Stegostoma tigrinum: one gene and its partner. The protein of the gene in region 1 interacts with the protein of each later gene in a pairwise test. Links are inferred from orthologs where the notes say so. Each region holds a gene or a part of one and is shown on either strand. Other genes may lie near its edges.

The links.
Region 2: the proteins of morn3 (region 1) and rsph1 interact in binary tests that used the Homo sapiens proteins (3 or more experiments, as listed by UniProt). The two-hybrid records come from large-scale screens. The link is inferred for Stegostoma tigrinum from reciprocal best matches to the Homo sapiens genes MORN3 and RSPH1.

Annotation. Positions count from the first base shown.
Region 1 is NC_081379.1:25,093,796-25,101,340, reverse strand, and holds the start of morn3 (MORN repeat-containing protein 3), read left to right. Parts: upstream 1-4,403; 5' UTR 4,404-4,571; exon of another isoform or gene 4,572-4,677; 5' UTR 4,678-4,680; coding exon 4,681-4,825; intron 4,826-7,545. UniProt on the Homo sapiens protein: Assembles a suppression complex (suppresome) by tethering SIRT1 and MDM2 to regulate composite modifications of p53/TP53.
Region 2 is NC_081365.1:1,201,162-1,208,252, reverse strand, and holds the start of rsph1 (radial spoke head 1 homolog), read right to left. Parts: upstream 3,116-7,091; 5' UTR 1-3,115.

The DNA of each region.
Region 1 (7,545 bases):
TCCCAAACAATGTAATGGATATTGTGAATGATGTGGACTTTTCATGGATGGGCTGTTGCCAAACCTCATCATGATGTTATGTAGGCCCTCTGCTTCTTTGGGGGGTCCTAAGGGTAGTAGGGGAGGTGATGGCTTAATGGTATCATTGCTGGACTGTTAACTCAGGGATCCAGGTAGTGTTCTTGGGACTTGGGATTGAATCCCACCATGGCAGATATTGGAATTTGAATTCAATAAAAATCTGAAATTAAGAGTCTAATGCTGACTATAAAACCATTTTCAATTGTTGGAAAAAATCCATCAGATTTACTAATGTCTTTCAGAGAAGGAAATCTGCTTTTCCTATCTGGTCTGGTGTACATATGACTCCAGGCCCACAGCAATGTGGTTGACTTTTAACCGCCCTCTGGGCAATTGTGAGTGGGCAATGAATGTTGGCCTAGTTAGTGATGTCCTGTGAATGAAATAAAATGATTCCAAAAATCTCTCTTTGCATCTAGCTTCATGAAGGTTGAACTGTTTCCCAGTTTACCTAAGCTTTCATCCAGACAACAAGACACAAATTTCAATTTTAATAACTTTGTTCAGTAATGCAAGATCTGTCAAATTCTGATAGATCAGTTGAATTTTGGCACTGGGAGCATCCCCAAGCATCAGTTTGTTGGTTCTGTCACAAGTAATAGAATCAAATTCCTTTTTTTAAGCTTTGGGAAGAGTGCATGAGGAACCTTTTTGGGAGTAAATAAACACACTTGCTTTATCTTGGGAATATAATGTGATGTTTCCATGTTGAATTGCTGGTTTTTGAATAAAACACAAACATAAATGTCTGCTAAAGGGAAGTTCCTTGCAATCTGATTTTTTATGTTACGGTTTTAATGTTGAGCTGTATGCATGACTAGACTTACAATAGTAAACGGAGCACTGATTTCCAAATAAATTTACAATTTGCGTATAAACTGCCATTGTGATTTCCCAGAACTTACAACTAGTTTAAAATTTAATGTAATGTTGATGTGATGTCACAGGTGCAATTCTGCATGCACAGATCATCAACGTATCAGAGAAAGACTTGTAGATGAGGACCTGAGTAGGACAGGAACAAGGAACGTTTCAAAAACCCCACAGAGAGACAGGCACAGCTGGGACGTATGTCGGTACGTACACCTACACGTTTGACTTGGAGAAAGTGAGATGAGTTAATGAATAAGTTGTTTAAATTGAGAACAAGCCCAGCCAGGCCAAGGAAGTTGGTGATGGACAGGGACTGTTCAAGCCTGTTTTCAAGGAAGTATCAGAGAACCTTCAGACCATCCTAATGGGGGCTGGACATTCACAGTGATTACGTGTTCATAATGAAGAAACAATGAGTAAGGCCAGAAATGTGACAATTGTGGAACTGACATAAAGTATGAAAAGAATCAGGAATGTATGTGGGAAGAGAATGAACAAAGGGCGAAAGATAGGCTAACTTTCCTATTATGTAATTTGGACCAGATTTGCTGTTACCTTGCTGAGTTTTGTTGTTTTCTCTAAGCTTATTTTTGAGTCTGAATTATCATTGTGCTTTTATTATTCTTGTAGTGAATTGAACTATGTTAAGGGCATAGGAATAAGATTACAGAGGTAGGCCATTCATTCTCTTGAGTTTGCTCCACCATTCTAGATTATAGCTAGTCAATGTTATTTTCTCATGTAATCACTATTTCCCAATTATTCTCCTAATCTCTCAACTGTATTTTCCTTCCATGCAAGATGGTGAATGGTGCTGACAGTGGACAACTCCTTGTGAGTTCCAATAGCAGATCTAACTCTAACATTTCTTATAATCGCTCTACACTTTTAAACTTAAACACTAAATCAAGTAATGTAACCTGCATGCCTCTAAATCTTTTTGATCTGTACATCCTTTGCTTGCTGTGATCTGCCTGTACCGCTCACTTATTTCGGTACATGTGACAATAAAATCAATCAATCAAACATTTTCACTGTTTGGTGGCCTGTAATGCATGTCAAGGATTGCATTACTTCTTTGTATACCTTAATTTTCTTATTAAATTTATCTTAACACCACTCATAATCTTTAAATTCCAGTCCTTTAATATAATCCTATACAAACCCTACTGGCTTGTTTTCCATCTTGTCTCATGAAAATGTTATATTCAGGCATGTTAAATCCTCAGTTCTGTTCAAACCCAAACCACATCTCCATTATTGGTATTATACTGCCCTCCATAGTATAAATATTTATTAAGTCATACCGCATGGAAACAGACCATTTGGTTCAACTCATCCTTACTGACCAAGCTTCCCAAATGACACTAGTCCCTCATGCCTGTGTTTGGCCCATATGCTTCTAAATCATGCCTACTCTTGTACCTGTACATATGTCTTTTTAAATGTAACTGCACCTGCATCCACCACTTCGTCTGGCAGTTCCACATACAAACCACCCTCTGAGTGAAACAGTGGCCCTCAGGTCCTTTTTAAATCACCTCTCACCTTAAAATTATGCCCTCTAGTTTTGAACTCCCCTACCCTAGGGAAAAGACCTTTACTTTCACGTTATCTATGCCCCTCACGATTTTATACTTGTAACTCTGTAGTATTGTTTTGAGCATTTGGTTCATTTTCGTTCATTGTATCCAATTCATACTTCAATTATTTTGGAATTTGATTAGAATTGACTCGAAATCACCATACATTCAGCTGAAAATAAAGTTTTGATGAGTCCCACCGATCTGGTTACCTGGTGTAATTGACAAATTGGAATGTATGAGGTTGTATATATGCCTGCCAAGCTGGTGGATTTGGAGAAAACTGAAGGAACTGAATAGCCTACCTCTATAATCTTATTCCTATTCCCCTAACATAGCTTAGTTCACTGCCAGAATGAGAAAAACATAATGATAATTCAGACTCAAAAATAAGCTTATAGAAAATGAACAGACTCACTAATCACCCTACAGTATATCAAGGGCATTTCAGAGAGGACCATAAGACTACTCAGACTCCTGGGTATCAGAGTAATCCACAAACTCACATCACCCTACCACAGCTACTGACAAAGGTAAAGGATTCCATACCCAAAACCAACAAAACTGGTGTAATATACAAAATACCTTGCAAGGATGTGTGAGAAATACCACATAGGCCAAACTGGAAGAAAACTGACAATACGGATACACAAACACTAACTAGCCACCAAGAGACACAAAAAAATTTTCACTTGTCTCAATACACACAGACAAGGAATGACACGATATTGACTGGGACAACGCATCCATTATCGTACAAGCCAAACAGAGACACGCTAGGGAATTCCTGCAGTCCTGGTCTTCCAACTGGAACTCCATCAACAAACACATTGAATTAGACCCTGTGTACAAACCACTGAGAAACAGAACCAGAAGTAATACCAACATCCCAGCAAACCGATTCATATAAATAACAAGCGGGACAGAACACTGATGCTTAACTAGAGGCGCACTGACGATGTTACTGAGCAGGGTGACAAAATGTCTGCAACCAAACCCACCGGCTCAGCAAGCATGTCTTTAACCTCACACAACCCTCATCACCAGTCTTCTTGAAAACTTTAATTGGAACACATTTTTGTAAACAATTTCCCCTTTGAAAATGTACCTTAAGATGTTTGGGGGAAATTTGAGATAACGATTTCAAAAAGCTTTGAGTGATCAGAATTACCAAAATAAATAAAAACATTTCAATGATAGAAATTGGGAAACATCCCATAAACAGCAGGTCAACTCTTATCCATTGTATTAGAGATAATGGGAACTGCAGATGCTGGAGAATTTGAGATAACAAAGTGTGGAGCTGGATGAACACAGCAGGCTAAGCAGCATCTTAGGAACACAAAAGTTGACATTTCGGGCCTAGACCCTTCAACAGAGTGCTCCTAAGATGCTGCTTAGCCTGCTGTGTTCATCCAGCTCCACACTTTGTTATCTCTTATTCATTGTACTTTGTGTAAAGATGCATGCCATTTGAAGGAAATACAACGAATTTATTCAACTGTTCAGGTCTCTACAGGTACCATTTTGTTTTTTTCAAATTAGCAGCTGTGTGAACTGCTTCATTTGTGAGTGATTATCCAACAGCTCGCATTAAATAAGAGAGCGATTCAGACCTAAGGTTAGCTGGGACTGCTGTGTTCATCCAGTCTCACATTTTATTATCTTAGCAACCTCTTGCTGGCTTTAATGTTATTTCCTATGGGTGGGGTAATGGGGTAAAATAACTTCTCCTTTTATCAAAAAAACCAGTTTGACAGTATTTTTCACTTCTTTACTCTCTTTTGCCCCGTTTTGCTAACAAAAAGCACATGACGAATCACAAGGCCCGTCTCCGTTGCTATAGGAACAGGCCGTACACTATCGCACAAGGAGCGTCAGCGACGGCGGGGATTGTTAAACATCCTCTTGTAGCCTCGCTGTTGCTGATATGCACGAGTGCCGATTTTCTGCAGGTCTTTCCGATAACGAGTTGCCAAGGGTTTTCGAGTGAAAACGGGTCCATTTCCATTAAACTCGTCTTGTGAAAGACAGGTAAAGAGACCCAGTCTCGGCCTCTCCTCCTTCAGCCGGGAGTGTGCAACGCTTTGCCTCCTTCTCACAAGTTAAATTCTTCCATAGCTGTTTTTTGTTATAAAAGAATATGCCATTTCTGAGGCCTCGGAAGCCCAAAGAAAATCGGTGGCATGAGTGGGATCGAATTGCACAGAAAAACGGTTTAAAAAGCACCGTCTACTCATTAGGCGGGGACGAGTATACAGGAGAGTGGCTGGACAATAAAAAACATGGTAAGACTTTTTTTTTAAGTACAGTGCATCATTTTACAAGATATAACTTCTGAAAACAGAGTTAAAAACATGGCTCAGATTGGCTTTAAGCATGAACTTCATGTCCTGCGCTACTCAAAAGTAATGACAGTAGACCAAACCATGAGTTTAGAATGCATGCGACACATAAAAAGACCATTCAGCCTATCATATCCACAATAGCAGCTCGGCTTTTTATATTTTTATATTGCTGTTGTTTGCTCTTCAAGTGTATTCATTCACATTTCTGTGCAACCAGTTTCATCTGCCACTTGTTAGCCCACTTCACCAGCCCTTCTCTATGTCCTTTTGAATTCTGTTATAATTCACAATACTTCCAGGCTTTTTGTTGTGTACAAATTTTGAAATTGTGCACTGTACACTTGAGCCTTTGTGATTAACACTTAGCAGGAAAAATAGTCGCAGAAACAGAAGTTGCTGGAAAAGCTCAGCAGGTCTGGCAGCATCTGTGAAGAGAAATCATCGTTAATGTTTCCAGGCTAGTGACCCTTCCTCAGAACTGATGGTAGCTAGAAAAAGGTTGGTTTATATACGGAAGATTGGGTGGGGGAAGGGGGTAAGGAGTAAATGATAAGTAAGGATAGTGCCCAAAGAGAGAGAAGAACAGTTGGACATAAAAATAGTTTAAAAAGACAAGTTGTGAGAGGGATTAAAACTGTTTACAGAGAGATATTGATAGTTTGGGTGGGCAAAAAGTTGGCAAATGAAGTATAATGTGGGAAAACCTGAAGTTCATTTTTGAAGGAAGAACAAAAGAACAGCGTTATTTAAATGGGAAAGAAAAACTGCAGAAAGCTGCAACACAAAGGGACTTGGTACATGTGTACAAAATACAGGATGTTAGCAACAGGTAATCAGGAAAGCTAATGGAATCAGAGATAATGGGAACTGCAGATGCTGGAGAATCCAAGATAATAAAATGTGAGGCTGGATGAACACAGCAGGCCAAGCAGCATCTCAGGAGCACAAAAGCTGACATTTCGGGCCTAGACCCTTCATCAGAGAGGGGGATGGGGTGAGGGTTCTGGAATAAATAGGGAGAGAGGGGGAGGCGGACTGAAGAAGGAGAGAAAAGAAGATAGGTGGAGAGAGTATAGGTGGGGAGGTAGGGAGGGGATAGGTCAAGGAGGTGGGATGAGGTTAGTAGGTAGATGGGGGTGCGACTTGGGGTGGGAGGAAGGGATGGGTGAGAGGAAGAACAGGTTAGGGAGGCAGAGACAGGTTGGACTGGTTTTGGGATGCAGTGGGTGGAGGGGAAGAGCTGGGCTGGTTGTGTGGTGCAGTGGGGGGAGGGGACGAACTGGGCTGGTTTAGGGATGTGGTGAGGGAAGGGGAGATTTTGAAACTGGAATGTTGGCTCTTGTTTCAAGAGATTTGGAGAATAAGAATAGGGAAGTCTTACTGGAACTGTGCAAAGTGCCGGTGAGATCACATATGGAGTACAAGGAAATGTTTTTGTTCCCTTCTGGAAAAGTATCATTTAACTGGAGACAGTTCAAAGAAGGTTTACTGGGGTGATCCCTGCTATGGAGGGATTGTCTTCAAAGGCTAGACAGGTTGGGACTTTACTCACTGAAGTTTAGATGAATGAAAGGTGATGTCATTGAACCATATAGGATTCTTAAAGGGTCTGACAAGGTAAATACTGAGATATTTCCCCTCATAGGAGAATCCAGGACCAGAGGGCATAGTCTCAGAATAAAGGGGCACCAATTTTACAGACTGAGATGAGGAATTTCTTCTCTCGGAGGGCTATGAGTCGTTGGAACTCCTTGCCGCAGGGACTTGCAAGGGCAGAGTCCTTGTGTATATTTAAGGCTAAGGTAAAGTTTGTCAGCAGGGGAATCAAGAGTTATGAAAAAACATGTAGGAAAGTAGATGTGAGGAGTGTTGATCAGCCATAATCCTGTTGAATGTCAGTTCCTATTTCCTATGGTCTTATGGCGAATGTAAACTCCTGTTTAAGAAGGGAGGGAAGCAGAAGACAGGAAATTACAGGTCAGTTAGTCTGACCTCAGTTATTGTTAAGACTTTAGAGTCCATGATTATTAAGGATGAAATTGCGGAGTACTCAAAAGTGCATGGTAAAGTAGGGCTGAGCCAGCATGGCTTTGTCAAAGGACATCATGCTGAACAAAAGCAATTTTTTGAGATGGTAACAAGCAAGTTAGACAAAGAAGAGCCAATAGTGTGATCTGTTTGGATTTCCAGAAGGCCTTTGACAAGGTGGCACACAGGAAGCTGCTAAATAAGATAAGAGCCCATGGCGTCTGTGGAAGGCTGCTGGCGTGGATAGAGATTGGCTGACTGAAGAAGGCAAAGGGTGGGGATAAAGGTGGATTTTTCAAAGTGACAGTGGGTGACTTCTGGAGTTCTACAGGGGTCAAAGCTGGAACCACAACTATGCACTTTATACATTAATAATCTGGACAAATGATCTGATGGCATTGTTGCTAATTTTGCAGATGATGCAAAAATAGGTGGAGGGATAAATAGTATTAAGGAAGTGAGAAGGCTGCAGGAGGACTTGGACAGGTTAGGAGAGTGGGCATAGAAGAGGCAGATAGAATACAGTGCAGGAAAGTGTGAAGTTGATCATTTTATTAGGAAGAATTGAGATGTAGACTATTTTCTAAATTGGGAAAGGTTTCAGAAATCTGAAGCACAAAGGGACTTGATAG
Region 2 (7,091 bases), on another chromosome or scaffold:
TCTCTCTCTCTGTGACCCTCACACTGTCCTCTCTCTCTCTCTCTGTGACCCTCACACTGTCCTCTCTCTCTCTCTCTGTGACCCTCACACTGTCCTCTCCCCGTCTCTCTCTCTCTCTGTGACCCTCACACTGTCCTCTCTCTCTCTCTCTGTGACCCTCACACTGTCCTCTCTCTCTCTGTGACCCTCACACTGTCCTCCCTCTCTCACTCTCTCTCTGTGACCCTCACACCGTCCTCCCTCTCTCTCTCTCTGTGACCCTCACACTGTCCTCCCTCTCTCTCTGTGACCCTCACACTGTCCTCCCTCTCTTCCTCTCTCTGTGACCCTCACACTGTCCTCTCTCCCACTCTGTGACCCTCACACTGTCCACTCCCCCTCACTCTCTGTGACCCTCACACTGTCCTCTCTCTCTCTGTGACCCTCACACTGTCCTCTCCCCCTCACTCTCTGTGACCCTCACACTGTCCTCTCTCTCTCTGTGACCCTCACACTGTCCTCCCTCTCTCTCTCTCTGTGACCCTCACACTGTTCTCTCCCTCTCTCTGTGACCCTCACACTGTCCTCTCTCTCTCTGTGACCCTCACACTGTCCTCTCTCTCTCTGTGACCCTCACACTGTCCTCCCTCTCTCTCTCTGTGTGACCCTCACACTGTCCTCCCTCTCTCTCTATCTCTCTCTGTGACCCTCACACTGTCCCCTCTCTCTCTGTGACCCTCACACTGTCCTCCCTCTCTCTGTGACCCTCACACTGTCCTCCCTCTCTCACACTCTCTCTATGACCCTCACACCGTCCTCTCGCTCTCACACTCTCTCTGTGACCCTCACACTGTCCTCTCCCTCTCTCTCTCTCTGTGACCCTCACACTGTCCTCTCTCTCTCTGTGACCCTCACACTGTCCTCTCTCTCTCTCTCTGTGACCCTCACACTGTCCTCCCTCTCTCACTCTCTCTCTGTGACCCTCACACCGTCCTCCCTCTCTCTCTCTCTGTGACCCTCACACTGTCCTCCCTCTCTCTCTGTGACCCTCACACTGTCCTCCCTCTCTTCCTCTCTCTGTGACCCTCACACTGTCCTCTCTCCCACTCTGTGACCCTCACACTGTCCTCTCCCCCTCACTCTCTGTGACCCTCACACTGTCCTCTCTCTCTCTGTGACCCTCACACTGTCCTCTCCCCCTCACTCTCTGTGACCCTCACACTGTCCTCTCTCTCTCTGTGACCCTCACACTGTCCTCCCTCTCTCTCTCTCTGTGACCCTCACACTGTTCTCTCCCTCTCTCTGTGACCCTCACACTGTCCTCTCTCTCTCTGTGACCCTCACACTGTCCTCCCTCTCTCTCTCTCTCTGTGACCCTCACACTGTCCTCCCTCTCTCTCTCTCTGTGACCCTCACACTGTCCTCCCTCTCTCTCTATCTCTCTCTGTGACCCTCACACTGTCCCCTCTCTCTCTGTGACCCTCACTCTGTCCTCCCTCTCTCTGTGACCCTCACACTGTCCTCCCTCTCTCACACTCTCTCTATGACCCTCACACCGTCCTCTCGCTCTCACACTCTCTCTGTGACCCTCACACTGTCCTCTCCCTCTCTCTCTCTCTGTGACCCGCACACTGTCCTCTCTCTCTCTCTCTGTGACCCTCACACTGTCCTCTCTCTCTCTCTGTGACCCTCACACTGTCCTCTCCCTCTCTCTCTGACCCTCACACTGTCCTCCCTCTCTCACTGTGACCCTCACACTGTCCTCTCTCTCTCTCTGTGACCCTCACACTGTCCTCTGTCTCTCTCTCTCTCTGTGACCCTCACACTGTCCTCCCTCTCTCTGTGACCCTCACACTGTCCTCTCCCTCTCTCTCTCTCTCTCTGTGACCCTCACACTGTCCCCTCTCTCTCTCTCTCTCTCTGTGACCCTCACACTGTCCTCTCTCTCTCTGTGACCCTCACACTGTCCTCCCTCTCTCTGTGACCCTCACACTGTCCTCTATCTCTCTGTGACCCTCACACTGTCCTCTCTCTCTCTCTCTCTCTGTGACCCACACACTGTCCTCTCTCTCTCTGTGACCCTCACACTGTCCTCCCTCTCTCTCTCTCTGTGACCCTCACACTGTCCTCCCTCTCTCACTGTGACCCTCACACTGTCCTCTCTCTCTCTCTGTGACCCTCACACTCTCCTCTCTCTCTCTGTGACCCTCACACTGTCCTCCCTCTCTCACTGTGACCCTCACACTGTCCTCTCTCTCTCTGTGACCCTCACACTGTCCTCCCTCTCTCACTGTGACCCTCTCTCTCTCTCTCTCTCTGTGACCCTCACACTGTCCCCTCTCCCTCTCTCTCTGTGACCCTCACACTGTCCTCTCTCTCTCTCTGTGACCCTCACACTGTTCCCTCTCTCTCCCTCTCTCACTGTGACCCTCACACTGTCCTCCCTCTCTCTCTCTGTGACCCTCACACTGTCCTCTCTCTCTCTGTGACCCTCACACTGTCCTCCCTCTCTCACTCTCTCTCTGTGACCCTCACACCGTCCTCCCTCTCTCTCTCTCTCTGTGATCCTCACACTGTCCTCCCTCTCTCTCTGTGACCCTCACACTGTCCTCCCTCTCTTCCTCTCTCTGTGACCCTCACACTGTCCTCTCTCCCTCTCTGTGACCCTCACACTGTCCTCTCCCCCTCACTCTCTGTGACCCTCACACTGTCCTCTCTCTCTCTGTGACCCTCACACTGTTCCCTCTCCCTCTCTCTGTGACCCTCACACTGTCCTCTCCCCCTCACTCTCTGTGACCCTCACACTGTCCTCTCTCTCTCTGTGACCCTCACACTGTCCTCTCTCTCTCTGTGACCCTCACACTGTCCTCTCCCCCTCACTCTCTGTGACCCTCACACTGTCCTCTCTCTCTCTGTGACCCTCACACTGTCCTCCCTCTCTCTGTCCTCTATCTCTCTGTGACCCTCACACTGTCCTCTCTCTCTCTCTCTCTCTGTGACCCTCACACTGTCCTCTCTCTCTCTGTGACCCTCACACTGTCCTCTCTCTCTCTGTGACCCTCACACTGTCCCCTCTCCCTCTCCCTCTGTGACCCTCACACTCGGACCGTTGCTCTGTGTACCGAAACCATGACAACGCTCCTGCCACACCTCCAGCCCGCGCGCGGTCACGTGGCCTAAAGCGGCCGGGACCAATGCGGAAGTGCCGGCGATGACTCGGTGAATAATCACACCGCACCAAATTACAGTCAACAGGTTAATTTGAAAACTTTCAGATCCGGGCTTCTTCATCAAGTGTTAGCAGCCCGAGTTTCAGGAGGCGGGCTCTGTATCCTAAGGGGCGGGCACACGGACCTCTGAGTATCACAGACATAAGGGGAACTGCAGATGCTGGAGAATTCCAAGATAATAAAGTGTGGGGCTGGATGAACACAGCAGGCCAAGCAGCATCTCAGGAGCACAAAAGCTGATGTTTCGGGCTTAGACCCTCCATCAGAAAAGGGGGATGGGAGAGGGTTCTGGAATAATTAGGGAGAGACGGACCGAAGATGGAGTGAAAAGAAGATAGGTGGAGAGGAGAGTATAGGTGGGGAGGTAGGGAGGGGATAGGTCAGTCCAGGGAAGACGGACAGGTCAAGGAGGTGGGATGAGGTTAGTAGGTAGCTGGGGGTGCGGCTTGGGGTGGGAGGAAGGGATGGGTGAGAGGAAGAACAGGTTAGGGAGGCAGAGACAGGTTGGACTGGTTTTGGGATGCAGTGGGTGGAGGGGAAGAGCTGGGCTGGTTGTGTGGTGCAGTGGGGGGAGGGGATGAACTGGGCTGGTTTAGGGATGCAGTGGGGGAAGGGGAGATTTTGAAGCTGGTGAAGTCCACATTGATACCATATGGCTGCAGGGTTCCCAGGCGGAATATGAGTTGCTGTTCCTGCAACCTTCGGGTGGCATCATTGTGGCACTGCAGGGGGCCCATGATGGACATGTAATCTAAAGAATGGGAGGGGGAGTGGAAATGGTTCGTGACTGGGCGGTTCAGTTGTTTATTGTGAACCGAGCGGAGGTGTTCTGCAAAGCGGTCCCCAAGCAACCACGATAACAAAGTGTGCAGTTGAATGAACACAGCAGGCCAAGCAGCATCTTAGGAGCACAAAAGCTGACATTTCGGGCCTAGACCCTTCACAACAGCTTTTGTGCTCCTAAGATGCTGCTTGGCCTGCTGTGTTCATCCAGCTTCACACTTTGTTATCTTAGATTCTCCAGCAATTGCAGTTCCCATTATTTCTGGTCCCCAAGCATCCGCTTGGTTTCCCCAATGTAGAGGTAGCCACAACGGGTACAGCAGATGCAGTATACCATATTGCCAGTTGTGCAGGTGAACATCTGCTTGATAGAACATAGAACATTACAGCACAGTACAGGTCCTTCGGCCCTCAATGTTGTGTGGACCTGCCATACCGATCTGAAGCCCATCTAGACGACACTATTCCATGTTCGTCCATATGCTTATCCAATGACGACTTAAATGTACCTAAAGTTGGCGAATCTACTACCGTTGCTGGCAAAGCATTCCATTCCCTTACTACCCTCTGAGTAAAGAAACTACCTCTGACATCTGTTGTATATCTCTCACCCCTCAATTTAAAGCTATGCCCCCTCGTGCTCGCCGTCACCATCTGAGGAAAAAGGCTCTCCCTATCCACCCTATCTAACCCTCACTGATGTATCATTACCAGAGTTGTCTCTATTCCCCTTCTTGAACAGGGGAACCACATTTGCTATCCTCCAGTCATCTGGCACTATTCCAATGACGAGGTAAAGATCAATGCCAAAGGCTCGGCAATCTCCTCCCTGGCTTCCCAGAGGATCCGAGGATAAATCCCATCCTTCCCAGGGGACTTATCTATCTTCACCCTCTGTAGGATTTCTAATACCTCTTCCTTGTGAAACTCAACCCCACCTAGTCTAGTAGCCTGTATCTCAGTAATCTCCTCGACAACATTGTTGTTTTCTCGAGTGAATACTGTTGAAAAATATTCATTTTGTGCTTCACCTATCTCCTCTGACTCCACACACAACTTCCCACTACTATCCTTGATTGGCCTTCATCTTACTTTCAACATTCTTTTCTTCCTTAAATACCTATAGAAAGCCTTCGGGTTTACCCTGATCCTATCCGCCAACAACTTCTCATGTCTCCTCTTGGCTCTTCTGAGCTCTCTCTTTAGGTCTTTCCTGGCTAACTGGTAGCCCTCAAGCGCCCTAACTGAGGCTTCACATCTCATCCTAACATAAGCCGCCTTCTTCCTCTTGACCAGAGATTCTACCTCCTTTGTAAACCACGGCTCCCGCACTCTGCAGCTTCTTCCCTGCCTGACAGGTACATACTTATCTAGGACACACAGGAGCTTTTCCTTGAACAAGCTCCACATTTCTAATGTGCCCATCCCTTGCAGTTTCCTTCCCCATCCTATGCTCCCTCAATCTTGCCTAATCTCATCGTAATTGCCTTTCCCCCAGCTATAACTCTTGCCCAGTGGTAGACACCTATCCCTTTCCATCACTAAAGTAAACATAACAGAATTGTGATCGCTATCACCAAAGTGCTCACCTGCTTCCAAATCTAACACCTGGCCAGGCTCATTAACCAGTACCAAATCTAATGTGACTTCGCCCCTTGTTGGCCTATCTAACATACTGTGTCAGGAAGCCCTCCTGCACACACTGGACAAAAACTGACCCATCTATAGTACTCGAACGATAGTGTTCCCAGTCAATATTTGGAAAGTTGAAGTCCCCCATGACAAATACCTTGTCTCTCTCACTCCTGTCGAGAATCATCTTTGCTATCCTTTCTTCTACATATCTGGAACTATTTGGAGGCCTATAGAAAACTCCCAACCGGGTGACCTCTCCTTTCCTGTTTCTAACCTCAGCCCTTTACTACCTCAGTTGATGAGTCCCCAAACATCGTTTCTGCAACTGTAATACTGTCCTTGACCAACAATGCCACACCTCCGCCCCTTTTACCATCTTCACTGTTCTTACTGAAACATCTAAATCCCGGAACCTCCAACAACCATTCCAGATGTGGAAAGTCATCTTGGGGCCTGGGATGGGGGTGAGTGAGGAGGTGTGGGGGCAAGTGTAACACATCCTTCGGTTGCAGGGGAAAGTGCCGGGTGTGGTGGGGTTGGAGGGGAGTGTGGAGCGGACAAGGGATTCCCAGAGAGAGTGGTCTCTTTGGAACCCAGTCAAGGGTGGGGACGGCAAAATGTCTTTAGTGGTGGGAGCGGATTGTAGATGGCGGAAGTGTCGGAGGATGATGCATTGTATGCGGAGATTGGTGGAGTGATACGTGAGGACTGGGGGATACTCTTTTGGCGGTTATTGCGGGGGCCAGGTGTGAGGGATGAGGTGTGGGAAAATGCGGGAGACTCGGTCAAGGGCATTCTCGACCATTGTGGGGGGTCGGGGGAGGGGGGAGTTTGCGGTCCTTGAAGAACGAGGACATCTGGGATGTGCCAGAGTGAAATGCCTCATCCTGGGAGCAGATGCGACGGAGGCAAAGGAATTTGGAATAGGGGGTGGAATTTTTGCAGGAAGCTGGGTGGGAGGAGGTGTATTCTAGGTAGCTGTGAGAATACACCTACTCCCACCCACGTTCCTGCAAAAATTCCATCCCCAATTCCTTTGCCTCCGTCGAATCTGCTCCCAGGATGAGGCATTTCACTCCCGCACATCCCAGACGTCCTCGTTCTTCAAGGACTGCAACTTTCCCCCCGCAGTGGTCAAGAACGCCCTCGACCGAGTCTCCCGCATTTCATCCCTCACACCTCGCCCCCGCAATAACCGCCAAAAGAGTATCCCCCTAGTCCTCACATACTACCCCAGCAATCTCCGCATACACCGACACGTCCTCCTACCGCCCCCTCGATCATGACCCCACACCCGAGCACCAAACCATCATCTCCACTACTATCCATGACCTCATAACCTCAGGGGACCTCCCAACCACAGCCTCCAACCTGGACAAGCATATGGATGTACATGGAATAGTGTAGGTTAGATGGGCTTGAGATCGGTATGACAGGTTGGTACAACATCGAGGGCTGAAGGGC